Schizosaccharomyces pombe: one gene and its partners. The gene in region 1 interacts genetically with each later gene. Each region holds a gene or a part of one and is shown on either strand. Other genes may lie near its edges. The genes, in order: msa1, gos1, dcr2 and vht1.

Region 1 (9,297 bases):
GAAACAAGAATATATAGCAAACGAAATTGGGAGATGTATAAAGAATCAGTATAGCAAGGAAACGTATACCCCGTATATAATAGTCCCTTGTAAACTTATGCTTGTCCTGTCTTTATAATTTTTTTCTTTTTCTGGTTCTTTACCTCACGAACCTTTTTTTGTATTTAGTGTCTATAAGGAATATTTATATGAAACTAGTGTTTTGAGAAAGTCTAAAGCTATGAAATAGAGGTCTGTTAAAAAAAAAACTAATTTTCTTTTTTCAGTTCGCCAGTAAGCCAAAATAAAAAGTTCACGTAATATTACAGCCTCAAATTAAAAATTTCATAAAATGAATTGACTTTATATAGTATTTTTGTAAAAATTTATGTAGTGAAAATAATCAAATGGTTAGAGTGTATACGATACATGTGTGAGAACATCTATATTTGGGAGCATATATAAATAAACTTCTATCTAATATCATTATATCGTTAATGCGTAAAGTAGAGAACTGTTACGAGTTACACTAATTCGTAAAATTATATAGAAGACATATATATGAACATAATAACATTTATGACTCTAAATCTTTTAAATATAATTGCAGCCAATTTGCATCTTTTAAGTAAAATAAATTAGATAATTATTAGTGTTTTATAGAATATGTACCTAATAAAAAAAACTCCGACACTTAAGGACTGTATAAAGAAGTGAAACCTCAATCAGATAATGAAGGGAAATTCAAAATAAATCTAATTCCCATCCATAGGTGGGTTATGCGTATAATACATCGGACTGTACGATTGAGGCATAGCCATTTCTGGAGAATAAATGGGATAGTACGACTGAGGAATTGATGTGGGAACGGCACCAGGAGGAAGGGTAGCCATTGACTGGTGAAATGTTGAAAACTGATCCATGGGTGCAGGGATTGGCATCATTGCATTACGAGGTGGTGAAAATGGCGCTGGAAACATCGGATATGGATAGGAGGGATATTGATATTGAGGGGAAAATTGCTGCATTGGTCTTAGTTGACGAAATTCAACACGCAAAGGCTTTTTCTGGTGTGGGGACCTCGTCTTACCGCAGACGGCAGCATAAGCGGCTTGTTGAGAATCAAACCTTAGAAAAGCAAAAGCAGGCTTCTTGCTTTGATGAATTATTTTACAATCGATTACCTTTCCATATTTGGAAAATAGATCAACTAGTAAGTAGTGTGTGCAATTTACTGGGTCGAGTTGGCCAACGAATATAGAATAAGGATCAATCGGTGGAGGCATTGCAGCAAACATCATAGAGGGGTTCATGGGATATCCAGGCTGTTCAAAAGAACCATCTGTTGGGAGTTCGGCCTTGCCGCTTTCTAAAGAGGGTATTGAAGGTAATATACTCGGTAAGGAGCTTAAAGATTCATTAGGAGTACTGAATTCAGTAGAATTGACCAATGAGTGAGCAAAGTATGAGGGACTTTGAACCGCGGAATTTGATCTTCCCATGGTAGAAGGAGGATCGGAAGAAACTGAGAATGGAATAGGGGCAGGTGCTTTGATAACAGGAGTGTTCGACTGATCTTTGCCTTGCGACTTTCGCCTTCGACTATGTGCGTTAGGTGGAGAAAACGGGGAGGAACCTTTCTTCTTATAGTGACCGTTTTGATATGTCACATTTTCCGCCCAAAGTACAGGCCAGGCAGAATGCTTAAGCGCGGTATAGGCTGCGATTGCTTCATCCCTGTAAACAAACCGTACTAAGAAAGCGGATTGATCTGGTATTTCCGTGACATCTTCAACCTCGCCATAAGGTTCCAATAAGTTATCTATGTCTTTTTTTGTAATGTAAGGTTGATGGGGTGCAGAGGATATACGGATTGTCCTATTAACTTTGGCGCGCTCTATACGTATATGACGGCCATCCAATATCGTGTTTTGGGCTTCAGAAAGTGCTTTCGATGCATCATCAGTATTTTGAAATTGAACAAAAGAATAAGGCCTTTGCAACCAATCTTTCAAAACTTTGACATGCAACAAAGGACCCCACTGTTGAAAGTAATCTTTAACAGTGGCAGTCAGCTCTTCCTCAGACCTTGAAGAGTTTAAGCTAGCAACAAATAAACAGGCAACTGGTTTTCCACGGACAGACGACGGATTTAATACTCCACTGGAAGAGGAACTTGGGATAGGGGTGCTTGATGATGCAGTTTCCAAAGGAGGCTTTATAAAGGTAGTGGAATTATCATTTTCGGATAAAGAACCTGGGGGAATGTCTTGTAAAAGCGTTGTTTTTTCGAGTTGGGCTGATAATTTTTCGACAGGAGAATGCAATAAAGATACAGACGGAGAGGAAACAACCATTTTTAAATAATGTGTTTAAAAAAAAAGTTTGGAATGAGAAAGGATCTATAAAGGGGCATGAAACAAGGATGCCGGATTGATATCAAATTAAAAAGACAAAACTTTATACGAGATGCCTGCGCCAAAGTGGGATGGAGGTCGTATCAGTCGATTATATGGAATACAATAGATAGTTATGAGATGATGTGTCAACAGCAATCCAAAAGCTGCGTAGAAAAAAGAATGAAAAGTATTTCAACTGAAAAAGTTAAAAGTTAATTAATTTAAAATTTCCTTCAAAACAAAGTTTAAAAAAAACCCCAGAGAAAAAATTTGGTCAAAAGAAAAGATAAATAAAATTGATCAAAGAAGGGATAGGAAAAAACGAATGGGAAAACTTTTACTCAGGTAATAAAATTGCAGAAATAGGGAAAGAAAAAAACGCAAGCGTATGGTAATTTAGTGCAAAAATGCAAAGATAAAATAGAGATTATACACGTATAAATAAGAAAGAAATGGAATGGCTCTTAAAAATGACGAGTCAAAAGAAAGAAAGAAAGAAAGGATGAAGATTTTGAGAAACCAGCTGAAACAGAAATGGAAAATGAAAAACCAAAACCAGAGATAGACAGTAGGTAAACCAAACGAGACTTTGCAGTCTAACAATAGTCTAAGGAAAGCCCAAAGAATAAATATATATTTGAGTGGGGGAAACGAGTATTTCCAGAATAAGAGTCAGATGATGAGAAAAGTAAAATGGGGAATAGAAATAGCTTGCACGGTGATCAGACCGTGAAAGAAATTTCACAAAGATGAAATTTCAGTTTTTGGGTGATGGATAGAGAGAACTCTTCTCAAGTGGAAGCTAAAAAATAATTGGATAAGCTTGAGGGAGTAGCAAGTTCGAATTGAAAAAGGTGAAAGAATCAAAGAGCAGTACAATTGCAGTTGAATATCTCGAAAAGCTGAACACAGAGAAAGTTTGAGGTGAAAAAGAAAACAAATAAAAATAAAGAAGCCAGTAAACGCAACAAAAGGTGCAAGAGGAGAGCGAAGGAAAGCTCAATGGCACAGACAGAATCAGATGAGAAGAGAAGGTAAACGCAGTCTCACTAGTATTTCAAGCAATGTGGAGGTATTCGATAGATAACAAAAGAAAAGGAAAAAAAGAAAAAATGGGTGATCAGAAATGCAACAAAACTGATAAAGACAGGATGGAAGACGGGGAGACGTCTCAGCAAAAAGGAAGCAACCCACACAAAGAGAAATTGAATTTAGTATGTTAATGGAGAAAGGAGAGAATCGAAAACCCTCGAATAGCAATTGATTTAGGTGAAAGCAAAGAAGGGGGTTATTCACGACGAAGGTTTAGATCTGCTCGGAATATACGAGGAAAAGACATTGTATATCAAGACTACTTGCAAACTCGGGGATTTCAACACGTGTTCTTCATCGGTAATGTAGGCGGCATAAAAGAGGACAAGGGACATTAGGGAGCAAAACCAGACGATATGATTAACTAAAGGAGCAATACATCCGAATCCTGCTTACACTCTAATAATTAGTCAAACGACCAAGACGCTGCCTCAAATCCTCAATCTTTTAGTAATTTTACCGTTCTATTTGGGCCATATCATTTTACTAAATTCTAGCCATTCTCCTTTACCACGATTGATAGGCAATTGTCCATTCGGAAGTATATCACTACTGCCAACATTTCCCTCTCCACAATGTCTTAGATAGTGGGTTACAGGGAGTATAAGGAACAAGCTAGTATTGACAAATGATGAGACATTGAGAATTGGGCACAGGGTAATGGGCTAAAAATTGGGTGCTGCACCGAAGCATCCTTTGGTTGTGAAGATAAGCAACTACAAATTTTAGGAGTAAGTTAACAACGGCCCCATGGAGATAGAAAAAGGAAGAATGCTAAAAGTCGTGAACAAAGGCGTAATCGTCAAAGAAAGGTAAATTGCAAGCACAATGAAAAAGATGATTTTTTACAATAGGATCCAATAAAGCGAAAAAAAAAACAAATAAATAACTAAAGAAAAATAAATTGAATTTTGATTAGTATACAAAAAAAAAATTAAGCACAATCTAGATGAGCAACAAAGAAAAAAAGGGAGACCTTTAAAAGAACAAGGTGAATATGTTATATTACTGTCTGGATTAATGACTGACAAAGACAGAATACGCAAGCTATAGCCAAGCTAAGAAACGAAAAAAAAAAGAAAAGAAAAAAACAAAACAAAACAAAGGTAGTTAGTTTGTCAAGCTATGAATAAACTATTTTCGTCGTATTTTCTTGAGCGTTCTATAGACTGTTTATTCAACAAAGCAAAGCAATAGTATAATACTAGTAGTAAAAGGAGTAACAATAGGAAAAGCCAGCTTAGCGTGTACCGAGGTTTTCTCAAAAAAAAAAAAAAAAAAAAAAAAAGGAATCGCTTGCTGAGATATCGAACTCTACCCCTTGAATCTAACATTCACATGACCTTTTGTTTCTTTGTTTGTCCCCATTTCTAGATGTGTTTTTACCTTGGAATAAAGTCTCGGTATTCTAACTCCGATTGCCTATCTCTAACACTTTGTAGTGGGATGTGCAGGGAGCAAGCTAAATGCACGCACTCTGATGGAGTGAGTTCTGGATAAGTGACAGCTGAGTATAACGATAAACATCGTCGTACAGTTTAGCTTCCCTTTGAAACAAAAATTTTAAGTATGTGTAATGGTGCTTATTTATCGAGGAAAAGGGTGAATCTATAATAAAGAATGGATCGTTGGAATGTAGAAAGTAGTCGATACTTGAAAGTGAAAACAGATGTTGAAAAAATTAGTCGATGTTTAAATGTTTAAAAATAATAATAATAATACTAATACTAATTTTAATTCTTGTATTTTGCTAGTTAAACTAGAAAACTGCCAACGAAATACAAGCATACATACATATCTATATCTATATCTATATATAGATATAGCTATGTTCCTTTCCAGACACCAGTAGACTCGGTCTATATCGCCAGCATTTCTTAGACTAGGATTAGAATGGGATAAAAATATGAAAAAGGGAATGCTGAGGAAGGATGAATAAGAGTCGTTATATGTTTTTCTTTACTGTTTACTTTTTCTTTTTTTCTTCTTCTTTTCTAGCTCGCCTTTGGCCCAAATTAAGCTCATTAACCTGATGCTGTCAGATATGACTTGACACTCTCTGTGATACTACATATGCAGACAATTTCTGGACGAAACATTAAATTTTCCGATCTTCAATCAACGTTCCGAAATGGTCTACAGAAAGAGTAACAACAAATTGTATGTAGCGTTGGATATGAAAATGCACTGCGTGGCATAGCATACAATACTCTTACAAATGCGCTTGGCAAAGACGATTCAATTTAAGATTGCTGTTATGCTTACAGTATAAACCAAAGCAGCAAGAATGGAATCCCCGTCCCGTAAATTTTTTTTTCTTGGTAATACGTTAAAAGTATAACTTGGCAGACATGTCGAAACCGATCATTTGTAAATCAGCTTCTCTTAACTATCTCTAGTGGATGCAATAGTATGTTAAACTAACAAACACGAGTACATTTGAAAGACTCATAAACCAAATTCGATGATGATCCTTTTGTTGATAAACCGTTTTATGGTGGATCTTTGGCGTATCCTATCCCTTACTCTTCTTTCAGATATGAAACAAAGTAAATAATAGCCGAGGCAACCATCTATAAATCATCATTGTTTAGCTGCTTCCCCCCCCTAACATGGGACGTAAGACAATGAAAGTTTAATTTGCTTTTAATTTTCGTTTTGAAAAAAGTTTGTTAGATATGGTTCGCTTCCAACCTTCCTACTTTAATAAACAAGTCGGAACTCCAGCTAGCATAAAATCTGTGGGAGAACTCTCAAAATGCTTTGAAGAGTGACTGTATCGATTGATTGATTGATTGATGGGGTGAACTAGGTAGCTGTATGAACTGAACCATCCCTACTATTAAGAGGTATGAAAACGTACGCATGTTAAGAGAAGCTCTAACTACATTACCATACTGTTATGTACTACTCTTCTCCAAGCCAGATCATAGAACTTTCTAAAGAGCATAGATTTCATTTAATTTATTTATCAAGCTTTCTAACTACGTTCTTCGTGAACTTTTTTATTACTGGGCCATTTTAAAAAAAAAGAACTTCATTACTAAACCAAACAAAAAAAATACCATATATGATTTATTTCTTCTCGTTCTTATACTATGTCTTATACCAGGGAAACCAGTTATTATTTACTGCTTAACAAATGCTATTAGGGTTCAACGTTCTCGTTAGTAGAAACATGAAAAAAAAAATTTCGATGCTGATGCTGATGCAAACAAACTGGGCATAACTTTTATTTAATAGAAAAATAAATAAATTAGTTCATTGCCTCTTATTGTTGGTTGGACCACATGGCCTGACAAGCCTTTAGCTGTTCCAAATAGTAAGAACATTGACTGAACTCATGCTCATTTATACAATCTGCAAACATTTTAGCATCGCCCTTGCAAGCATTCTTCGCCTCTTCAGAAATAGCACTGCTGGCAAAGGTGGATGGAGGTGCTGAACCATAAGCGGCTTCTGGAACACTGTTGCTGTAACTAGATTGAGGTACACTAGTATCAGCTGGAGCATTGTTGGAACCACTTCCAGAAAAACCGCCTGTTATGACGCTGCCAACCGTGTGTCCGATAGCACTTCCAATACCAACACCAGCCGCTGTACTAACCAGATTGCCGAAGAATCCAGGTGAGCTGCCTCCTTGGACGGCGGTGGGAGGAGGAGCCTGTTGCACACGACTAGGAGCAGGAGGAGGTGCCATTGTCCTAGGAGGTAAAGCAGCAGCAGTGGAAGCACTTCTGGCAGGAGCTGCACGGCGAGGAGGAGGTGCGGCAGAACGTCTACGAGGCATCGTACTTATTTATGTGAAGAGATGGAAATGGGCAAAGGAAGTAAGAGATAAACAAAAAAGGATTAAATTTTATGAAAACTCGTTTACGATATCTGCAAAGGAATACCGTCAATGAAAGGATAAACGATATACGAGTGTTTAAGAGGCAGATGGCGGAGAGCACGAATATATATAGCGTTGCTAGAAGAAGCTGAAGAAAATCGATGAATGGAGAGAATCGTTCCGACCAAACATCGTCTTCGCTATAGCGGATTGGAAGACATGAGGTACAACTTGGATATTTGCACCACTCAAGTCGTATAGACCAGATGCCCTTGGGGTAACAGTTACCTAACAATCCAAGCTGGTTTACTAATACAAATGGATGCACAAGTTTTCAATAAAGAAAGAAAATTGCAACTTCCATCACTTTCAAAACTTTTATTTATGATTTTATCTATCATTCTCAATAATCGTAAATTTTGGACACATGTATGCAAAGCAATTTGACTTTGTTTTTTTTTTTTACGTAAAGAAACTTTTTTAGCCAACATTATTTATAACGTAGTGGATAGAATCATGTTATTATTAATTAGACGGTATATATTCCAAAAAATAAAAATAAATAAATAAATAATAAATACGATAAGTAAGGGAATATATGAGAAACAATTATATAATTGATCAATTTAACCTAAATAGATACACATCATCGACTTGGTGAGTCAGAGTATAAATGAGATTATTGGAGTTTTGTTATGCTATTGTATAAAACTATGAAGCAGCTCCAGGTTCCACACTAGTGAAATAGCAAGATTGTGAAAAATCAGCTTATATAAATGTTTCAGTTGATTTCAAATGATGTTACTCTTAACTCGTTTTAAATAAATGGGTGTATGTGAAATAACGAAGCAATTTGGGAATGCAAAATCTAATATGTACGTATTAGTTGTTGATGGATCTCTTTATATTTTTATATGGAAACACTAGTAGTCATGGTTTTAATAGAAAAGCAGTCTAGAGAGATATGTTGGAATTCGATACTTTGCATCAAAGTGTTCTATTTATTTATTTATGTTGCGTCTGTCAAGTCAAAGCACTTGAAATGACTGTTGTTGTAAAAAAAAGGAATCCCGAAGAAAAATTATATGTTTTTGAATTAATTCATTTCTATATTTATTTTTAAGAGCTATTTTTGAGTTTTGAATCCTCTAGCCAAAAAGTAGTAACTACAGTCTACACGCTCTCTTACCTTGGCCGACGGGGTATGTACAATACCAACTCGAACGGTTCCCCACATGGTTCTCCAATGTGGGATACTTGGAATGGTATTCAGTAACGATCTAAAAGTCGCAATTCTAATATTCCACCCCCACTTTGTCTCATTGGGGTCCAAGTTTTTGGATGGGAATAAAAAGCGAAACGAGCTGTAACGCTTAGCGTTAGTGAAAATAGCGATTACCACTAGCAATCCTAAGAAAAAAACATCCATCTAAACTTCGTCAATAGCAATGGTTGAGCAGTTAGAAAAAGTTATCAAAAACTTTCTTACCTATAAAAATTATTTTCTTGTCGCTTGTCAACATCTCTATTCATTTATTCACTCCCGATACATGCATATGCATTGCCGTAACGCACATGCAAGAGATGAAGCTACTTCAGTCAACGTTCATTGAGTAAATATTTGCATAGCTAAGCAATTCTTTTCTGTATCTATTGTAGTACTATGTTTGACTGAGAAATCCGCTACCGCGGAAGTTCTCCTAAATTTTGATCTTTACTGATATCATTAGCTCGATCGATCGGAGCAACTACCCTTTTTTACCTGATCAAGACAAGCAAATTCTCGAAATTCGGCTTGTTATCTATTTAAAATTTCAAAAAAAAAAAAAAAAAAGAAAAAAAACTTATGAGAGATAAAATTTGTAGCACAAAGTATGGTAACCAAGAACCAAAGATGCGTTTATTGATAGTAACAGTAAATAGCACTTCACTTGCAAGGCCAACAATACAAGACACTATGGTAATGTAGATCAGTACGTTTTCAAAGCATAAAAT
Region 2 (7,047 bases), 1.5 Mb from region 1:
GCATCTTTTTGCACTTATGTATTTTTGTTTCAGTTTCTTTTGCAACTGTCTTAGCATGCATCCTCGAGGACTACAAGTTTTATGGGGTGTTTGTGATAACATTTTGGAATAATTTAAAATACAATTCTCAAATCGAAAATTTGTCACAGCACGGATTGCACTCAAGATTAACACATTTTTTCACTAATATGCCACTCCTTTGTGGTCCTCTGATTTTTGTTCCAAAGCTTTGGGACGTTCGAAAACCTGCAACTTGGTTATGGCTTCTCCCCGTTTTCATACTATCCCTGTTTCCTCACCAAGAGCCCAGGTTTTTGCTACCCGCAGCCTCTATTTTTATAGTGAACTCTGGATGTCTAGTTCGTTCATATTGGATCAAATTTTTATTTGTAATGTATGCAGTTGTTTTGGCAGTTTTCTTCGGCATAATGCATCAAAATGGTGTTATCCCTGCGGTTTTGGAAGTAAAAAATATTATCGAACAGAGAAATGTAACAACCATGGAAAATTGTAATTTGTATTTTAATCCGGAAATGCCCACGACTATTTATTTTTGGAAGATTTATAGTGCTCCGACTTGGATGCTTGCTCGTCCAAAATTTAGCCAAATTAATACCTCTCATCTTTATAACTACTCCACAAAACAAATGATATCAAAATTTTGGGAGACTTACTATGAAGAGGTTAAAGTCGTCAATTTGCCTGAAGAAAACACAACCGAGTTTCAAGCATCCACTTTATTAGTGTGTCCTGTTGCTATGCTACAAACAAGCAGTTATCTTCAAAATTTGACTATGCTGCATTACATCCCTTATCACGTTGATTTAGATGACACTGATGAGTTACCCCTAGCAGAATTGATTATGAATCATGGAATTGGAATTTTCACCGCTAAGGAGATTTGTGAGAATAACACTATTACTAATGAGTTACCAACGGTATTGAGAAGTGTGGGATAGCAACATAAAAAAATCATTTTGCCTCGTTGTGTACTCTTAAGATTGAGATTCGCTCGTCATGCTACATTTTAATACTGCAGCAATTGCGATTAGAAGTTACCGTTTTCTTGAAATGTTTCGTATCCTTATTGTTAATCCTTCTTTATTGTTTTAAGGGTCAGAAAGTTCAATACTTAACTTTTATTAAGTAAACTGATCTAATTGTTAAATTCATTGGCATTTGTTTAATTTTTTTTCTAATATATTTGGGTTTTAATTTTAATTTATTTATGAAAAGCTGAGAGAATATTTAGTTCACTAAATCTTTCGCGGTTATTTAATCGCGAAGCTTGCATTCGTTCGATGAATGATGATTAATTGTTATATGTTGATTCTATTGATCATATTGTTGTCTATTTTCTTCAGCACAACACTGTTAATCGCCTGTTCCGATCCGATCTATGACAAAACTTAGCTGATTGAGTCTTCAACTTGTCATATTCAATTCTAACCAATTTTGTTAATAATAAAATAGTACTGACTCATCCCGATATGTTCAATGTGCTTATATCATACATAACATAACGTATTAACACAGATTGGGAGCCATTTGAATTCGTTTTACGCAAACAACGACTATATTAGCTTACATACGCCAATATACTAATACTAGTTCAACGATTTATTTGTTGACGGAGAATTATTGCGCACTTAGTTATTTTTTTGTATCACTAACTACTTTAGTAGGTTCACTTTCATAAGTGGTCAACCCCCCCACATAGTACTTGAGGTAGTAGACGAAGTCATAATTGCTATTCAAGTGAGTAATGTCTTAAAGAGAATATGGACCCCCCATTAGTACTTTCTAACCCACTTGGAAATTGAAATTGCTTTGATTTTTAAGCATTATGAATTAATATAATATTAATGCGTATTAGCTTATATAAACGATTACTAAATTATATTCTCATAGTTTTTCATGCATCTACATAAACAGTCGGCAGGGACGTAAAAAGCTACTCTTTTAACTATGATTTTGTATTGTAGTACATTAAGAAGGGTAAGTAAGGTCTTTATATTGTAATCTCTACGCCCTGGTTGACAGCTGTTTTAATAAGCTAGAATTTTTCGCTAAATGAGTTTGCTTTAAACATTGAATTAATTAGAAAGGTTTGTATTGTTCATTATCTCAGCATTCCATTTCCTATCCTTACATGCACGTTCAATGTAAGTTGAAAAGATAGTATTCAATGAAAGATTCGCAATCCAATGAAAAGCCAATTTTAGTCTTGAATTATATTACAATGAAATTAAAAGGAGAAAACCTTTATCGTAGATATATACTAATGTCCAAAAACAAATTAAAAAACCAAAATGAAAATTAAGATATGAATTTTTAACGTCAGAGTACTTCCACCTGTAACAACAGCTCCTTTCTGCTATACCTATCTATTGAAGTTTATAATAATAATTAAGTTCATCCTTGCGTTTCTTAAATCGCATAATAAATTAAAGATTATTTCCCCTTTAATCTACCTATAATTGGTAAACATGGCATATAATTATTTAAAAAATTTAGTCATTCCGAGGTTGATTGTTAAGCATCAGTTCAAGTTGCGTTCTTTTAGCACCAAAAGTCTCAATGATACAAAAGAAAAAGCCCCATCTGCTCTCATTCCAGTAGGTTTACTGGTAAAACCGACGATGCTTTCTGAAGTCCAAAAGCCAACATTATGGGAAAAACTTACCAAACCCGCGAGTACATCTTCTCCTGAGCAAAGACAGAAGGAGCTGCTGAATGAAATGAAGAGATCAACTATTCAAGATTTCAACGAAGTTCGTCGATTTAATGGTAAGCTGTTTTACAGTCCTCCAAGATTATTTAAGGAGAAGGTATGAACAATTGGTTAAAAGTAATATTCATTTCTGGAAATTTCAAATAAGAATGAAAAAAAATTAGTTTATTGCTTAAAAATATTGACACGTTTTAGAGCGCCTTATGGATGTACAACTTTCATGGGAAGTCATTACGAAATCAGTACAAAGAGCTATATAAAGATTGGCAAGGCTCGCCCTTTTTCTTTGCATTATTTAGCAACGCGTTTGGAGAAAACCAATGTAGGAATTGGATTCAACATCTAGCTCCATTTGATTATCTGCCAGTTCGTTATGCAAATGTTCAATCCAATCTAATAAAATATTGGCTACAGAAGATATTTATAGGAAAAGTTAAAAGATCAATACCAGAAAAGTGCTGGGTAAGTAGACGCATTATTTGTCCAAGCTGCTCACAAGTTTGTTCGCTTGATAAGATAGATTTATTTACTTCCAAAATTTATAACCTTTTGCTAACTAGCAGAATGAATATATTACAGCATACGACAATAAGTTCAGTTTCCCAGAAATAGGATGGAACAACAAACTTGTTGGAAATGTGTATTTAATTGACGATTCCTGCAAAATTCGCTGGCTTGGAACCGGTGATCCAACTAATGTCGAAATTGAAAACCTGAAGACAGCGATTAAGTTTTTGGTAAATAAAAACGTTGGTTAAAAGTAAAAGGACTTTTATATTATTTCATCTTAATTAAACCTTTATGACATATTCATAACTTTGGCGGGATCAATGCCCTTCATAAACGTTTCATAAAACATGCAACTTAATGAAAAAAAAGGAACAAAAGCATCAAGACAGATATGAGTAAAGCTAAAATGATAGAATCACGTCTTCGACGGATCGAGGTTTTCCTTAATATTTGATTAATAAAAGGGATTGACATGGCCGCCCCGTTTATGCGATTGGTCACATTTCCTAAGACGCTATTTTGGTAATCAAAGTCTTCCCTCGTAGCATAAGCTCTTTCAAGAAGCTCATTAGTGCCTCTAATAGAATTGTCTAAAGAGTTTGCCTCTTGCATTTCTAAAAAGTTTTGTGCATCTCGTAATTCTTCAGGAGATAGAACTTCCTGTTTCGCATCATATTTTTTCAAAACGCCATTAAGAAGTTGCTCATCTCGTTTTAGTCTTTCAAAATGTGATTTGATAGTAGCCATTGAATGCGAGTCATTTTCGTCAGCTGAAGAGTTGGCTTCTTCAAGAAGCTTCCTTCTTTCCTCTAGCAGAATTTTAGCTTGGTTAGGATCACTGTGCAACGATCTTTGGAACTGAGACGCTTTTTTCACCGAATCTCTCAAAAGCATAGACTTCATGGCTAAAGAGATCTTCAAATTTTTATAAGAGAAAAATTAGTAGCTTAAGTTATGATTTTAAAACAAACGTTTCTCTTCTGTTGATTAATGTGGCTTTCAGATGACGTTCTTACTAGTATGTAGTTTAGAGAAGTATCCCACTACGTAGAGATTCCTAAATATACCAGTGATAGAAAAGCTATGCTACTAGAAAACATTGTGATATTAAGATAGGATATTTTTCATTCAAAATGAATTTTAAGCATTAAATTAACTACGCAACCAACATTGCATTGTTATGGTAAATATCAAAATTATTTTGAAACATGAAGCTCGTGTCTCAACCAACTTTCAGTCGGTGACTAAACTGATGATTTTTTGTTTCACAAAAGATTTTAAAACTTTTTTATTAGAGAGCCAACGTTTCCCATCATTCGTCTCAAGCACAAAATTTAGTATTTCATTTTCATCATTGAGTTTGGGCATTTCAATCTTAAATCTCACCTTACCATTAATTTGGACAGGAATAGTAACGGGCTCCTCCATATTCTCCTTTTTATTTTTGGAAATGGGCCAGTTAGAGTAAACGGAAGAATTATGTCCTAGCAGCAACCAACACTCACTTGAAAAACAAGGTATTATTGGAGCAATACATTTCACAAGCACTTCCAAAGATGCTTTAATTGTTCCGATATTGACTTTGTTATTTTTTAAAGCATCTGCTATATTATTAGTCAATTTCATGGCGTCAGAAATTACTAAATTGAGAGAAAATACATTTTCATAATGAGCAGAACATTGTGAAATAAATTCATTATATTGTGATTCGAGTTTCCTGCTATTGTGATCGTCGACAATAGTTAACTTCGTTTGTCTCATCGCATCAGACATTTTTTTCTCACGTTCCAATAACTGATGAACACAATTCCATATTTTGGTTAACCACCGTTTTGTTCCCATTATTGCATTTTCATTCCAAAGGAGTACGCCTTCCACTGGAGCTGAAAATATTATGTAAGCTCTAATAATGTCTGAGCCATATTTTTGAATAGTACGTATCGGATCTACACCGTTATGCTTGCTTTTGCTCATTTTCTGGTAAGAAAGTTGAACTTTCTCTTTAGGATTACTGATTAGAAAATATTCGTCTCCAATTTTCTGGACTTCTTTTGGATTAAGTATTCGTTCATCCGACATCGTTGTATAAGTAAGACCATGAACCATCCCCTGAGTAATTAGTTGAGTAAATGGTTCATTTAAATATTTATCACCATTCCATAACCCAATATCCTTCATGAATTTTGAAAAAAACCTGGAATATAGAAGATGAAGTATTGAATGCTCAACGCCACCAATATAAATATCAACAGGCATCAAAGAGGACGCACTTGCTAAACCTACAGGAAGCTCCGAGTTTTTAGAATCCAAAAAACGAAAATAATACCATGATGAGTCTACAAATGTGTCCATAGTATCAGTTTCTCTTGTTGCTGGGCCATGACATTTCGGACAGGTTGTTTTCATCCATGTTTCTAGATTTGATAACGGCGAAGTACCTTTTTCATATATTTTATCAAGATCAGGCAACTTTACAGGAAGTTCAGATTCAGGGACTGGGACAGCACCACAGGTTTCGCAGTGAACCATTGGTATAGGAGTACCCCAAAATCTTTGTCTTGATATAAGCCAATCTTTGAGTCTATAATTTTTAACACGTTTGGCTAATTTCTTCTCTTCAAGGTAACTGACAATCTTTTGCTGAAGCATTTTTTGCTTGATATCCATTAAATTCGAAGAATCATGATGATTCAAAAGTTCTTTTCCCTCATTTGTAAAATATGAACCTATACAACTTTCTTTAGAAAATATTATGTTATTACGCTTAGCAAACTCAAAATCTCGGCGGTCGTGAATAGGTGCGCCCATAACGGCGCCAGTACCATAACAGTCCAAAACGTAAGGAGCATAAAATATTGGTAAAGCTTTGCCAGTTACTGGATTTTTTGCAAAGCACGGGAGCTGATATCCTTTGTCTAGTAAGGATTCATTGCGAAGATGTTCTGCCAACGAAGGATCCTTTTGGGATTCTAGTAAAACAAGTTTATGGTTTTTTGAAAGAGCTATAAAACTAACATCTATTATTGTTTCAGGTTTAGTAGTGAAAACTGTAAGAGTTTCTTTATCGTTTAGCAAAGGAAAAGATATTTCAAAACCCGTAGTTCGACCAATCCAATTGCGCTGCATCTTCTTTACTTTGTCAGGCCATTTTGGTAATGTTTCAAGGTCATCGAGCAGCTGATCTGAATAGTCTGAAATTTTTAGAAACCATTGTCGAAGATTTTTCTTTTCTACTATGGCACCGCTCCTCCAGGACCTCCCATGTGAATCAACTTGCTCGTTGGCAAGGACTGTGCAATCAACTGGATCCCAGTTTACAGTGGCCTCTGCTTGGTACGCCAATCCCTTATGAAACATTTGAAGGAAAAGATATTGTGACCATTTGTAATAATCTGGATTACAGGTTGAAATCTCTCGGTCCCAATCAAAATAAATATTCATATGGTAAGTTTGTTCTTTCATTTTTTTTATGTTCTCATACGTCCAAGAACTAGCTGATATCCCGTTCTCAATTGCAGCATTTTCAGCTGGTAAACCAAATGCATCCCAACCCATTGGATGAATGACTTTGTATCCTTTCATCCGATAATATCTCGATAGGATATCGGAAATAGTGTACACCCTAACATGTCCGATATGTAGTAAACCACTTGGATAAGGGAACATACTTAGTATATACTTCTTCTTTCCTTTGTCATTTTTGACGAACGGATAATGGGATTTCCAATATGACTTCCAATTTTCAGCAATTGCCAAGAAATCTGGATTGCTGTGTATGTTTTTATTAAATTTTAAAAAGTTGC
Region 3 (6,991 bases), on another chromosome or scaffold:
TTAGATTACTGACATTATATATTTCAATTTGGAACAAAAAAACAATCTGATTTCGACCATTTTTTAAAATTTTTCTTTTTCATAAATTTTTTCGACTTTTCCTATACTTTCGATGGTGAAGAATGCATTGAGCACAGTCTGCAGCTTCCATTTTTTTCTTCTGAAATTTTATAGTAAAATCGAAAGTTTTTCATCTGCTTAAGCAATCAATTAAATCTAGACAAACATTGCTAAGTTCTCCGCAAATTCAAAGAAACTTTGGCTGACGTACCTAAAATGCTTAAGTGGAAGTTTCCACGCTACACACAACTTAACCAGAACCTATATCCTTAGGAACACCAAGAAACTCAGAAAAGGTATGTTTGTAGTGTTTTTTAGGAAAAACGAAGTTATTTGTCTGGAAAAAGTATTTACTAACGAGTTTTTGAGGTAGTTTTATCAAAATGTCTTCATTGGAACAATTAAAGGCCACTGGCACTGTTGTCGTCTCCGATACTGGAGATTTTGAATCGATCGCCAAATACAAACCCCAAGATGCCACCACAAACCCTTCTCTCATCTTGGCCGCTTCTAAGAAGCCCCAATATGCTGCTCTCGTCGACGCTGCTGTTGACTATGCCAAGGCAAAGGGTGGTTCCATCAACTCTCAAATTGAGATTGCTTTTGATCGTCTTTTGATCGAATTCGGTACCAAGATCCTCGCTATCGTCCCTGGCCGTGTCTCCACCGAAGTTGATGCTCGTTACTCTTTTGACACCCAAACTACTATCGAGAAGGCTCGTCACCTCATCAAGTTGTACGAAGCCGAGGGCATTGGTCGTGAGCGTGTTCTCATCAAGATTGCCTCCACCTATGAGGGTATCCAAGCTGCTAAGCAACTCGAGGAAGAGGGCATCCACTGCAACTTGACTCTCTTGTTCTCTTTTGTCCAAGCTGTTGCTTGCGCCGAGGCTAACGTTACCTTGATTTCTCCTTTCGTCGGTCGTATTCTCGATTTCTACAAGGCTAAGAATAACCGTGACTATACCGCTCAAGAAGACCCCGGTGTCGTCAGTGTCTCTAACATCTTCAACTACTACAAAAAATTCGGTTACAAGACCATTGTCATGGGTGCTTCTTTCCGTAACGTCGGTGAGATCAAGGAACTCGCTGGTGTTGACTTTTTGACCATCTCCCCCGCCCTTCTTGAGCAGCTCAACAACAGCACCGACGCTGTCCCCAAGAAGCTTGATGCCTCCAAGGCTTCCAGCCTCAATTTGGAGAAGGTTTCCTACCTTACTGATGAGCCCAAGTTCCGTTTCGACTTTAACAACGACGAAATGGCTGTAGTCAAGTTGTCCACTGGTATCGCTGCCTTTGCCAAGGATGCTGATACTCTTCGTACCATCTTGAAGGCTAAGCTTGAGGCCTAAATATTTTAGCTGCAACCAGTTAGGTATACCGATTTCTTTCATTTTGTTAGGAGTTTTTTAGCTTACTTTTTTTTACCCTTTTTACTGCTAGCATTCCGTATGTTGAGGTTTCCAGATTATGATTTTAAGGATGTTATGGCAGTCTTTTTTAACAAAACACAAAAAATAAATCGTACTTGCGAGCTATAAGTGTGACTAAGCCTTTAGGTTTGACGATTGTTATATAAATGAATATATATATTTTGTATATATGTATTGCGTATGTGGATGGACATATTTACTTGTATTTTGGAATAAAATATATGATGGATCTCAACTGCAAATGGTAGAATGTGGAATTAATTATTAGCAAACACATTTCAAAACTATTTAAGTATGTAATTGGAAGAGCGTAAAAATTTCGTTAATATTAATTAGTATATTACTTCCGTAACATAAGAAATTCACTTTGAAAAGAAGGATCCCATAAAATTGGGATGAAGATTGAATAGAAAATAAAAATATCGTAAAGATAGAAGAAAAAGAAAATTATATCCTGCTGTGAAATAAGTTATATAATGAGAGGAGTGATTGTTTAAACTAAAATAGTTTGTACGTCCAGCATCAACTTACGGTCTTCAGGAGGCCATTCCAAGCGTTTCCAAGTACGAACTGCGCGCTCAACCGGGTCCAACTCAAAAACCCTTGCACGACGAACGTAGCCACCATGTCCTCCATATCCGCCAAACCCAGCACCTCCAGCAAAGCAAAAGTATGTGTTATAATCTGGATGGATTCCACAGAAATCATTTACATGGTCATGTCCTGCAATAGCAAGAGGAATACGTAAACTTTTCAAAGCTTTCGCAGTATTTGGATCACAAATGGAATAAGAACAGGGCTCTCGAAATGCACCAACAAGGTCTTCAGTCTCGCAAAACTCCTTCAGAGGGATATGCAATACAGCCATTTGAATGGGCTCGTACTTGAAATCCGCAACTTTACTAGAAAGCCACTCCAGTTGATCCTCGGTAATAGCATCGTATCCAGGGCATAATCTTCGATTTGAAGTATCTCCCTTTGTATCTAAAACGTAAATGGCAAACTTTCGGGGACTATGTAAAACAAAGTTACCAACACCAGAGACATTTCCAATCAAACCCATACTACCAGGAATCTGACTCAAAATTTTGGCAAGCTCTTCCCTCGATAAATCTCCCAAATCATCGTGATTTCCGAAATTTACAGCAAATGGGACGTTGTAATCAACAAAAGGGGACACCGCTTTCATCAAAGAGCTTCTAGCGTCGCGTGACGTGTCGCCGTTAATTAAGTCCCCAGTCAAAAGGACAAAGTCCGGTTCCTCTAACTGTAATAATTCATTCACGAAAGCAGTAGTTTTTGCATCGGCCATACAATCCTCTGCAGTCTCATACGGATAAGGATCGCGACACGGTCTGTCAGAATTTGAATAGTGCAAATCAGAAAGCTGAAGAATCTTAATTGTCTTTTTTTCTTCGTCATCATAAGTAAGGGTTACGGATGAAAGCTCCTTTCTCTTAAGCGCTTCAATAGATGGCGTCGGAGGAGTTTCACAAGGTCTTTGCGTCAATAGGACCGGCTGTCCTAAATAAATAAAGTCATTTAGAACAGCAGACCAACCCTCTCGTAATTCAACAACATCCTCACCCAACAATGTATTAAATTCGCAAATATCACCATCCGTTCCATAACGAATTTGAATACCGTGCTTGTTACGCTTTTCCAGCTGTCGATCAACATATACCTGTTCAACTAAGACAGTCTCCCCAGGAATATACAGTGCTGGTCGTTTCACGTAAAGGTAGGCACGCTTCCAAGGAATTCGGGAACGGTACAGATTCCGACTAGTACGGGCCCATTTCCAAAATTCCAAAACGGGACGACAAAAGGGAGAAAAGGAAAAGCACTCGACCAGCCTTATATCTTCGATTGGAGTGTTCAGTGAGAAGGGTCCCGACTTTGAGTCAGTGATTTCAATGGTGTTGAGCGAATAATCAACAGTCAATAATGCTATGAAAGCCGCAACTATGAAGATTGCCCTTTTACGAAGGAAATGAATAATGTTTCTCTTTGGTAGCATCATTTTGCTTAGTCTTTGAACACGAGATTAGTAATTGTAGGAATGTATTTTTAACCGAAAAACGTCCCGCGAGAACTTTTTCTTTTACGGATCAAATATTTGACAAAGAAAAGCAATATTTATATAACAAATGTGCTTCAAATTAAAAGTTTTTATGAAAAACCTGTAGAATTGACTGAATTCATGAAAGCAAAAGGATTATGTGGATATTACGGTAATGTTTACATGGTAGAAGAAGGCTTTTCAAATTAAGATTCGAATGCGGAGCACAAGAACGAATCCGTTATCTATGCCTAGCGTAGTGCAGAATACTCACTTAAGAATCGCTTTCAAGAAACTTGCTTATCATAATACTTGAAGTTGGAAAGAGCTCGGTATGTGAAGAGATGAGCTTAACGTAGTTTAGCAGGTTCTCAGTTATTCTGAATGTCTATTAAAATTCAGCATTATAGCGACTTTTCTTGTGAGTGAAAACAAACGTTAAAGCTAGATGGCATTTCGGAAGAAGAAAATTGCATGGATAAGCTCTCAGATACTCATTGACATTAATATTTTCATCTCACTTATTTTTTAATTTCTAGCGGTGAGTGTTTATATGAGAGGTACGGCAGCTCTCAAAATCTTAACAACCATTTTGGATTATATTTTAAGCTCTAACTTTTTGTTAAGTATTATTTTCTGAGAAATTCTGCTTCATACTGTAGTGGTACGAGAAAACTCGCAAATGAAAACGAATATTTCAAGGTACTATAAATCTCGCTTAATTCAAGCTTAATTTGGCCGACATTTCACATGTTGTGGCCCATGAAACATGTGTCAATAGTTGTATAACTGTGTAAGGGTACTATTGCGTTAGTTTCTTACCTGATCTGAAAAGTTTTAAGCTGCCAGCAAGTCGATATATATAGAGGGTTTTGCGGATCTTGTTTTTTTCCGGCATAATTATTGTGCCGAACCACTAAGCCGAACCAAAGAGTAATTATCATAACGCAAACTCTTTCAAAATAAAGAACCCATTTATTCTTCAACTCAAAGTTCAAGCAGAATACCTTGAAGCTTGATAATTAACAAATTTCCAAGCTGAGACTCATTCTTCGTTTAACTAATCTCACATGATGTTTTCCTCATTATTTTGGTTTTGCATATTTTTTTGAAAACTCATTAAGTGTAAGCTACGCAGTTTGGTATCTGATTTAAGGATACGTAGAACTGCGGTGAGTTTTCCTTGTGATCTATTATATTACGATACACAGGTTGTATAAGTAGCAACTGAGTATAGGTATTGTATTAACTGGGTTATAATGTTACCTATCACTAATATAGCTCATAACTGAACTGAGGAACGAGGTTCAGCAGTAGCTCTATTTATAGTATTCAGATAATATTGATCTTAATAGATTATCATTAAGATCAATCTCCATATCGTATCATACATGGTACGATATATAATTAGAACATGTGACATATAGTGATACTCAACGTAGTGTATTATAGCGTAGTGTAGTATTGCTGACATTGCCCTCCCCAAGATTTTCTATGTAAATCTGAGGATAAGTCATATGTTCTCAGATATTTAGATTATTGTTTTTAATATAATCATTGACAATTGCTTTGTCCGCTTGTAGCGCTGTAGCTAATGTAGTCCATCCTGACATAATAGTACTCGGATTTAGATTCGAAATGTACTTGACATTTAAGTAGAGTACTTGTTCTCTGTTTTTATGTTCTAGGATATGAAGAATTGTTCCAATATCAGACTCATCAATGGTAGCGTAATTGAGTTCTGAATTATGTCGATACTTTTCTAGGTGAGAAACATGAAAAGTAGATGAAAACATGTGCTTGATTGAATCTGGAAGATCCAATTCATAGTTGTTTGGACCCGACTTCTGTAACACATAGAACGGTCCTGCAAAACTAGGTGCTAATTTATTGGATTTATGAAGAAAACCTGTTTTCGTTCTTTTGACCATAACTAGGTCTCCAGGTTGAAATTCTTCAATTTCTTGTATTTTCATATCGAAATACTTTTTCATCTTTATGTTGTTTGTATTCAAGTGTTCTTTAACTGTTTGAAATACTTGGATCGTTTCCTGAGAGTTTTCGTCAGTTTTGTCACTAAAGCTAGGTAACTCTAAAGGTGATAAAGCTGGTGAATAGCGATGTACTATCTCAAAAGGTGTCATTTGAGTTGCTGAATGTATCGCATTGTTGTAAGATTGTTGCACTAGGGATATATGATCTACCCATGTATTTGGATGTGTGCTACATACACATCTTAGTAATTTCTCCACAGTTTGGTTTGTACGCTCAGTTTGTCCATCAGTTTGTGGTCTGTATGGTAACGAAAATTTCATAACGAAATTATATTTATGTGCGAAATCTTTCCACGTTTGGGAAGTAAAAATATGATCATTATCTGCAATGATTTCTTTTGGATTGCCGAAATAAGCAATAACTCGTTGATCAAACATTCGAGCTGTTTGCTCTGCTGTAATGGATTTCGTACAAGGTACTAAGATTGCCATTTTTGAAAATCGGTCAACTACCACGAAAAGTGCATTATAACCAGATGATTCTGGTAAAGCTGTAATAAAATCCATTGATAAAGATTCCCAAGGTCTTTCTGATGGGGGAATTGGTTGTAAAGGTCCATAAGGTTTATGATTCCTAGATTTGTTTATTTGACATGTATGGCAGTTCTGTACATATTCTTGTATTTGTTTTCTTATTCCTTTCCACGTAAATCTACGTAATATAATGTTTGTAAGAAGTTCAATGCCTGGATGAATCAATTTACCTTCTTCATGATACTTTTTAATAATTGTCCTAGTCAGCTGAGTATCATTAGGTAATAAGATTTGGTCTTTACTGTTAATTAGTAAGCCATCTTTGAGTTGGATATTCTCTTCCACTCGTTTGTCTTCATTGTTTAGTAAATTCAACAATTTTGTATCATTCGTATATTCTGTAACCACTTGGTTTTTAAAATCATCGGTTATCGAGATTTGATTAACAAAGTTGATACTATTGTCTTCTGAATCTTTTGGAATTGGTTCTGTTTCGTCAACAATTCTGGATAAGGCATCAGCTATGTGATTTGCTGATCCAGGTCTGTAGTTAATTTCAAAGTTGAAGTCTTGTAAAAATAATTGCCAACGAGCTAAACGTTTGTTTTCAGGCTCGGATTCGTTAGTAATGCGACCAATTAAGTTTCGATGGTCTGTTAAAATTTTGAAAGGTTCGATAGTGGATTCTAAATAGTGTCTCCAATGTTTGAGAGACTTAATGATTGCAAGCATTTCTTTGTCCGATACGCTATAATTTAATTGTGCTTTAGACATCTTTGCTGAATAGTATCCAACAGGATAGTATTTATCATCATCATGTTTTTGAGACAATACGGCTCCTACAGCGACATCTGAAGCATCAGTTTCCAGTAGAATCTTTTTACTGAAATCAAAGTGTCGTAGCACCG
Region 4 (6,994 bases), 2.6 Mb from region 1:
TACAGTAAAGTAAATGAAATTTTAAAAATAGTCTTGTTACAATATCTACAATATATTTCATCAGATTCTACGAATCCTAAAGAAAGTATTTCTAGCATAAACATTTAGCTTTGTATACATCAGCATCTGCTTCGACATCTGATAGATCATTGTTTCAATCATAAATGTAATGTTTATAATTTTATTTGCTAACTAATAAAAAAAAGAAATAATGATTTGAAATCAACAGATATGGGTATGATTAAAATATAAAAACTCGTGTCTCAATTTTTATCTACAAATACTTTACGTTACTAGTTTTGACAGATCTAAAAGAATATAAAAAGTAATTTATAAAAGCATTTTATACGATCTTTAAAATTTGTGAGTCAATTGGGCTGCTTAAAATACAACACAAATCAATTTTTAATATTTACGATACGTAAAGTTTTTGCAAATAAAACATCGAACAATTAAATAAATAGTTATTATCACTGCTTAAATATTACCAATCCTTTATTACTATGTGAAAAAAACTGTACTAAACCATGATTAGATATAAATTATAAATCGCTAGATACTGACAGTTAGATTATTTCTTCAAATAAAAATTTTCTTTTTTATTTTTATTCCTATTCCAAATAGTAACTAGAATGACGATCAATATCCAAAATTGTATTATTTATTAATTACCATTATTTTTTATTTTATTGTTTTTACACAGAAAACTAGTCATCTGTATTATGTAACGTTCCTTTTTCTATTTTATTTTTTAAATTTAGGTTATTAATTTCTCTTTTGTTTTCCAGGCACCAACAAATAAGCAAACGTATATTGCAATGAATGAGTTTACAAGTCAAGTGTGGGTATTGCATTTTTCTCATCGTTTTAAGCATAATCCCGTTAGTTTTTCCAACAGTGAAATTTTTTTCCATACACTCTTTTAACATTTAGTAGTTTTTGACGAAACTGGCGATTCCCACAAAGTTTACTAATCGCTGATCGCTAAAAAAAATCCACAAGGTTTCATTAGTGATCTTTTGAATTCATCCGAGATGCTCCCTACGATTTCTGTTATTTTTGCAAGCACATTCGAAACGAGCAATATTTTCTCATTCTCACGCCAGGATGGATGCAACAGATCTAACATCGTTGCTCTATTCAAAAATTCATTGTAGGGGTGATTTGCAAAAAAGAACATGCAAAACAAGCATGACATTGAAATAACAGAACTGGCAAAAGCAGTAAACGAAAAAAAAAGGGGCAAAAATTAAGAAATGAAACTGTAAATGAACGGGTTTAAAAGATAAAAAATTTGCTTAAATGTATTAATTAAACAGGGAATTTGCTGAAAAAAGAGCACTGCTCTCATACTTAACCTTCGTACTCTTATTATCGAGAAAACCAACGCTACTTGGTGAATTGATATCTTCGCCAATAGCAAATTGGATATATCATTTATCTCCAATTCATCAGCTATCCCTTGCTGAATCCACTAAAGATTAATAATGAACGAAAATAATTTCAATGAGAAGTATGAGTTTGTTGGGTAAAGTGATTTATGAACCTATGACATGTTGAATCGTGTAGTAACTTTCGTAATGAAGAAATGATATTGCCGTTCAAATTATATCCTACTAAATTTAATCTTATTACGATCAACAAGCTAAATCGTTCGGATACTTACTATTTTCATCGACATGAACTAAAACAATAACGAGTAACAACTTTGAATCGTAAACGAATTCTAAATTTTGGAGTATGTTCCACATTGAAGATCGTTAAGATGAATGGCTAAAGCAATTGATTCCTAAATAGAAATTTCTTTTTTATGCTATCTTACTACCTCATTGTTGTTAAAAATACTTTTATTTTGGAAATTAATGAAAGATAGAGCGGTATTGTTTAATGGAATTGATCTTTCCGGATCTGTCTAGATTTTCAATCCGCACTAGCGTACCAACACATTATACTTTGAAGCATTTGATTAGCGGCTTGTTCAAACACACACGTAGATGTATCACGGTATTCCATGAAGAGATATGATCGTGGAAGAAAACTAATATGGGCGGCTATCAAAAAAAGTCGACCGGCTGGAGAACTAGTTTGCAATGATGCCGAAGAATGCAAAGGAAAAATATTAGGCACATTTGAAGGCTAGGTATTTGAGAAAAGAATTATAGTGAATGATAATCAGTGATTTATGTAACAGCTCTACATAATTAAAACAAAATAAGAGATCTATATTGTCGACAAAAATAATATTAGAGAGAAAAACGACATCATATACCTTCATAATATTATAATTATTCTTAAAGAAAATATTTGAAAGATCCAAAAATCTTTATATTAGTATATAGAATACCTGTTGCTGGTGTACGTTTGAATGAACAATCGCTCAACGTTTCGACTACCCGTTTTAAAAACATCTTCATTAAATCTTAATACTACTATAGAATTCGATCTATTTCTATTTCTGAGCGAAGTTTATTCAAAAGTTTAGACGCCTCTGCTTCCATATATTTCCCACGATCTAAGCGATATTTATTTCTTATCCTTCATTTCGCTAACTTTCACAATCTAAGATACCGTGATTTGACGAGACCTGGCCGTTGCGAAATTTCATAAAGAATAGTGACGGGTTTTTTTGTATTTTAATATTTGTCGCAATCTTCATTGCAATTAAAGTAAGTTGGCCAGGTAGCAATATTGACGCCCTTCATTAGTATATATATGCGCCGTTTTTCTAATTTTCAATTCTTCGTGCTGAAGTGAACGGGGTTGTGTTGGTTAAAATCCACCACATTTAGAAAAGTATTGGAAAGCCATCACTGTCTCGATATCCATCTGTCATTCCCGAAAATTTCAAAATAATGGCTTCAGAATGGCCTGAAACATCGAGGGCCTCCTCAGTTGAGGAGAATCCCAAACTTAATATTCCTGAAATTGTCGAAAGCGTATCAGATTCAAAGCCCTCATTGAAGAATCAATTTTCGACGACAGTAATCGATTCGTCTGATCTCAATGTTTTTAACGATGGTGCGGAAACGACGGTAAAAGAGCAAGAATTTACTAGTAGCGAATTGCGAAGGTTACAGAAATTAAGATTGAAAATGGACCTTCGTATCATTCCATGTCTTTGGATTCTTTACTTTTTGTCTTGTTGTCTTCGTTTTACTGTCTCACTTTCGTTTACCATGAATACGGCTCAGGGCCACAGTCTTATTCAAACACTTTCTGGCTACTCAGCTCACTATCTCGCCTTGGGTTTGGCGTTGTTTTACGTTGGCTACATTATTTTTGAGGTGCCCTCCAACTTGATGATGGCATTTATCGAGCCCCGAATTTGGGTGTCTCGTATCCAACTCACCATTGGTGTTGTTGGTGCTTGCCATGCAGTTTTGGGAACGAAACATGGTAATGCGCAAAGTTATGTCGCTTTACGTTTCTTCTTAGGTGTCGCTGAATCCGGCTTATGGCCCGGCTTGGCTTACTACATGAGCCGTTGGTATAGGGGCAAGCACTTGGGTAAACGTATTGGTTGGTATTATACGGCTGCTCAAATTGCAGCAGCAGCCGTCAGTTTGGTTTCAGCTGGTTTCCAAAAGATGGATGGCGCTCGCGGCTTGTATGGATACCAGTGGATGTTCCTTATCTGGGGAGTCGTTGCTATTGCCCAAGCATTATCCATTCCCTGGTGGTTGCCGGCAGTTGCTTCAAAGGAGCATAGAAAGTCGCTTAGCTCGTTTATTCCCTTACCCAAATGGATGAAAACTTTGTCTCCTCAGAGAATTGGCTTCCTCACGCCTGCCGACAAATCCCTTCATTCTAGATACATTGCAGAGATGAATGTTGGTAAGCGGTGGCAATGGTCTGATTTGCTAAAGTCTTGCTTGGATCTCCGCGTATGGCCTTTTATTCTCATGTACTTTGGTATCGTCGGTGTGGGTAATGGTATCTTCAACTATTGTACTTTGATTATTGAAGAGATTAACCCCAGTTTTTCCGGTATCGATATCTCGTTGTTGAATGCTCCTATTTGGCTTGCCGACGCTTTGGGCATTGTCACTGTTATGCCATTGTACGACAGATTCCATAAGAAGTTTTCCTTCTTCACGGGATCCTGTTTGATCATCATCGCCGGCCTTGCCGTTGCTAACTACGCTCCTCGTGCCTGGTCACGCTATGGTGGTTTACTCATGATTGGATTTGGTCTTGGTCCAACCGTTCCCATTTGTATGGCCTGGTGCTCCGCCTCCATGGCCAAAACCTATGGCGATGTAGGCGTGGCTTCCAGCTTGGCCCTCGTGACGGGTTTGGGCAATTTGGGATCTGTCGTTACGACATATGCTCTTTACAGTGGCTGGCCTGGTGATCCTACCTTCCGTAAAAGTAATGATGTCTGCATTGCATTGATCGGTGTCTCCATAATAGCGTGTGGTATTGAATTTTTGCTGGATAAGACTGGATTCGGTCAATTCAACGCTAGTTTTAACAACCATGATCATGAGGTGGAAGACGAGCAAGAGATGACCGATATTAAGCCCGCGCTTCCTTCTTCCCAACAGGCTGACGCTTGACCTTATGCAAGAACGAATATAGATATGTCGAAGGAGCAAAGAACAAGACCATCCTTAGGGTTCGTATATTCTTCACTTTCCTCCGTATTAAAAGTCTCATCTACGTTTTTTTAGAACCATATTCCTATTGTTTGTTCTTTGCTACAAATTTTAATGTTGATGCTTTTTGTGATAACACGCTATTATTTTAAAAGTCGATTATGAGAGACCGGGTTTCTTGTCTTGAGAAATTTTACAAGTTGAAACAATCAACCGATCCTCGTTCTTCGTAGTTTTTTCTTTTGTTGTTTGTTTATCATTCTTTTTCTTTTATTTTGGGAATAATTACTTTGTGGTATCCTCAATGCATTCATTTTATTATTAAGTTTCTATATACACAACACATTATTTCAGGTTCAAAAATATCATTTCCTTCAATTTAAATCCCTTTTACTCTCTTTATTTATTTATTTTTTTTCTTTCTCATTATTCTAGTTATTTATCTATCACTACATTGTACTGTAACTCTACCAATTTTATATGCTCCCATACACAATCGCATCTTTGAAGATTCACTCACTACTCACTGTACCCATATCCAAGTTCTTAAGTTAATATAAAGATGCTTTTTACGAGGACCGGATTCTAAAAAATTTTGCATATTTTACGACTCCGACTGAGAACTTGGGTGACTAGCTCATTGGGTCTTCTTACCACGTTTTATTGAAAATGTGAAAAATTGCATTGTTTCAACTTTGTGGAATGGAGCGAAAATGCGCTTATTCACTCGTCAATTTGAATAACCAACAGGATGTTAGCGTAGAACGACGTGGGTAAATTGTCTCTTAATCATGACTGCGATTTCAGCTAAATGATGATGAATCGTTAGATTGAAGAATGACTAATCCAGAGCCGAAACTCCGTTTATAAGTTGAAGTGAAGCAGAAAGTTTCATTCCTCTCCATAACTTAAAAGAAGTAGGCTTTCACACTGCATTGTGGAGTGGAAGTCGAAGCATTCCCAGTTAATTGTTAGTTAGCTTAACATTACTCGTAGGATTTGTGCAATTGAGATTTTTTATAGATCTTCCCTTATTTATTAATATTGTGCTTTTGGTAGTCTGTATGAATTCTACTGCTTGAGACAATTCTTAGTTAATTTGCCTGTGGTGTATGCTAAGTTCGCTAGACTTTGTTTTACATTGATTATTTATTTTTGGATCTAATTCGGTTCGGTTTTGATTTATTTTTTAGACGTGGCTCATATTTTTTTTATTGGTCTGGTTAATATTTATTTAATCTAAAGTTATTTCATTCCTGTTTCTCCTATTTCTCCTATTTATTGTTCCGTAAAACTCACTTTACTGTTTCTTTTTTGTTGGCCTTGGAATTTGAAAACATGGACACAAACACCTTACCTCCCAAGCCGTCTATCTCTCCATCAATTGCTTCCTCTTTCCCGACCGTGAAACCCTTCTCTTCTCAAAACTCTACCACTTCGAATCCCGAGTTATCTCACATCGAAAAAGAGTCAAATGCCTCCTCCATTATAATTAGTCAACAACCGTTAAGTCCATCAAATATTTCTTCTGCCGCTCCCCTCGACGAAACCCACATTGCTACAAAAGCTTCAGCTTCTTTACGAAATAACAATGTTTCTCCTCACATTCCTTCACCCTCTTCTTTTTCTTCTTCTTCCTCCTCCGACCTTGACAAGTCCATGTTAGATGAAAAACATCCTGATTCTGAGGATATTACTGCTGTCTCTTTGTCTACGCCTCCTTTTCCCGAGAGCATCGATGTTGCTCGTTTCAGCTCGGAGGAAAAGAAAATCCTTTCTCGCATTCGAAGAAAACTCGACTTGAGGATTATTACTTGCTTATGGATAACGTATTTCCTGTCAAGAAGTGTAACGTACTCTATTTCTCTATCTCTTACCATGAACAAACATCAAGGTCATTCTCTTCTGCAGACTGTTTCTGGATTGAATTATCATACTCTATCTGTTGGCACGGGCCTTTCTTATGTTTCCTTAATTATTTTCGATCTCCCTTCTAATCTACTAATGACCCGTGCTGATCCTCGACTTTGGCTCTCTCGTATTCAAGTAACCACTGGTATTATTGGTGCTTGTCATGCTGTTCTTGGAACTAAAGGATCTTCTGCTTCAGGATTTATCGCTTTAAGATTTTTTAATGGTCTGGCCATAGCAGGTATGTGGCCAGGTTTTGCCTTTTATACCAGTAGGTTTTATCGCGATCAACATTTAGGAAAACGAATTGGTTGGTATTACACGGCAGCTCAAATTTCGTCGGTCGCTACTAGCTTGCTCTCTGCTGCTTTTCAGAAAATGGATGGTTTACACGGTTTATATGGGTACCAATGGATGTTTTTAATTTGGGGTGTTGTCGCTTTTACACAAGGTCTTTTTCTTCCACGATGGCTACCATGCATAAA

Evidence for each region.
Region 2: mutations in msa1 (region 1) and gos1 together harm fitness more than expected from each alone (negative genetic interaction), as found in Schizosaccharomyces pombe (one large-scale study listed by BioGRID).
Region 3: mutations in msa1 (region 1) and dcr2 together harm fitness less than expected from each alone (positive genetic interaction), as found in Schizosaccharomyces pombe (one large-scale study listed by BioGRID).
Region 4: mutations in msa1 (region 1) and vht1 together harm fitness less than expected from each alone (positive genetic interaction), as found in Schizosaccharomyces pombe (one large-scale study listed by BioGRID).

The regions. Positions count from the first base shown.
Region 1 is NC_003424.3:2,317,904-2,327,200, forward strand, and holds msa1 (RNA-binding protein Msa1), read right to left. Parts: upstream 4,923-9,297; 5' UTR 2,337-4,922; coding exon 735-2,336; 3' UTR 589-734; downstream 1-588. Other genes in the region: mix17 (CHCH domain-containing protein), read right to left, coding at 6,742-7,260; SPOM_SPAC6C3.03C (uncharacterized protein), read right to left, coding at 8,429-8,731. UniProt on the Schizosaccharomyces pombe protein: Negative regulator of sexual differentiation. Acts by repressing the transcription of meiosis-inducing, ste11-regulated genes.
Region 2 is NC_003424.3:778,587-785,633, reverse strand, and holds gos1 (SNARE protein Gos1), read right to left. Parts: upstream 4,274-7,047; 5' UTR 4,148-4,273; coding exon 3,599-4,147; 3' UTR 3,493-3,598; coding exon of another isoform or gene 3,298-3,492; 3' UTR 3,197-3,297; coding exon of another isoform or gene 2,930-3,196; 3' UTR 2,832-2,929; coding exon of another isoform or gene 2,490-2,831; 3' UTR 2,215-2,489; downstream 1-2,214. Other genes in the region: smp3 (alpha-1,2-mannosyltransferase), read left to right, coding at 2-959; atp10 (F1-F0 ATPase assembly protein), read left to right, coding at 2,490-2,831, 2,930-3,196, 3,298-3,492; SPOM_SPAC4G8.09 (leucine--tRNA (Leu) ligase), read right to left, coding at 4,478-7,047. UniProt on the Schizosaccharomyces pombe protein: Nonessential SNARE involved in retrograde transport within the Golgi complex.
Region 3 is NC_003421.2:773,055-780,045, forward strand, and holds dcr2 (phosphoprotein phosphatase), read right to left. Parts: upstream 3,718-6,991; 5' UTR 3,517-3,717; coding exon 1,987-3,516; 3' UTR 1,736-1,986; downstream 1-1,735. Other genes in the region: tal1 (transaldolase), read left to right, coding at 444-1,412; Tf2-12 (retrotransposable element/transposon Tf2-type), read right to left, coding at 5,079-6,991.
Region 4 is NC_003424.3:4,956,659-4,963,652, reverse strand, and holds vht1 (plasma membrane vitamin H transmembrane transporter Vht1), read left to right. Parts: upstream 1-2,742; 5' UTR 2,743-2,852; coding exon 2,853-4,559; 3' UTR 4,560-4,955; downstream 4,956-6,994. Other genes in the region: SPOM_SPAC1B3.15C (vitamin H transporter), read left to right, coding at 5,937-6,994. UniProt on the Schizosaccharomyces pombe protein: Involved in uptake of biotin and desthiobiotin with the concomitant entry of protons.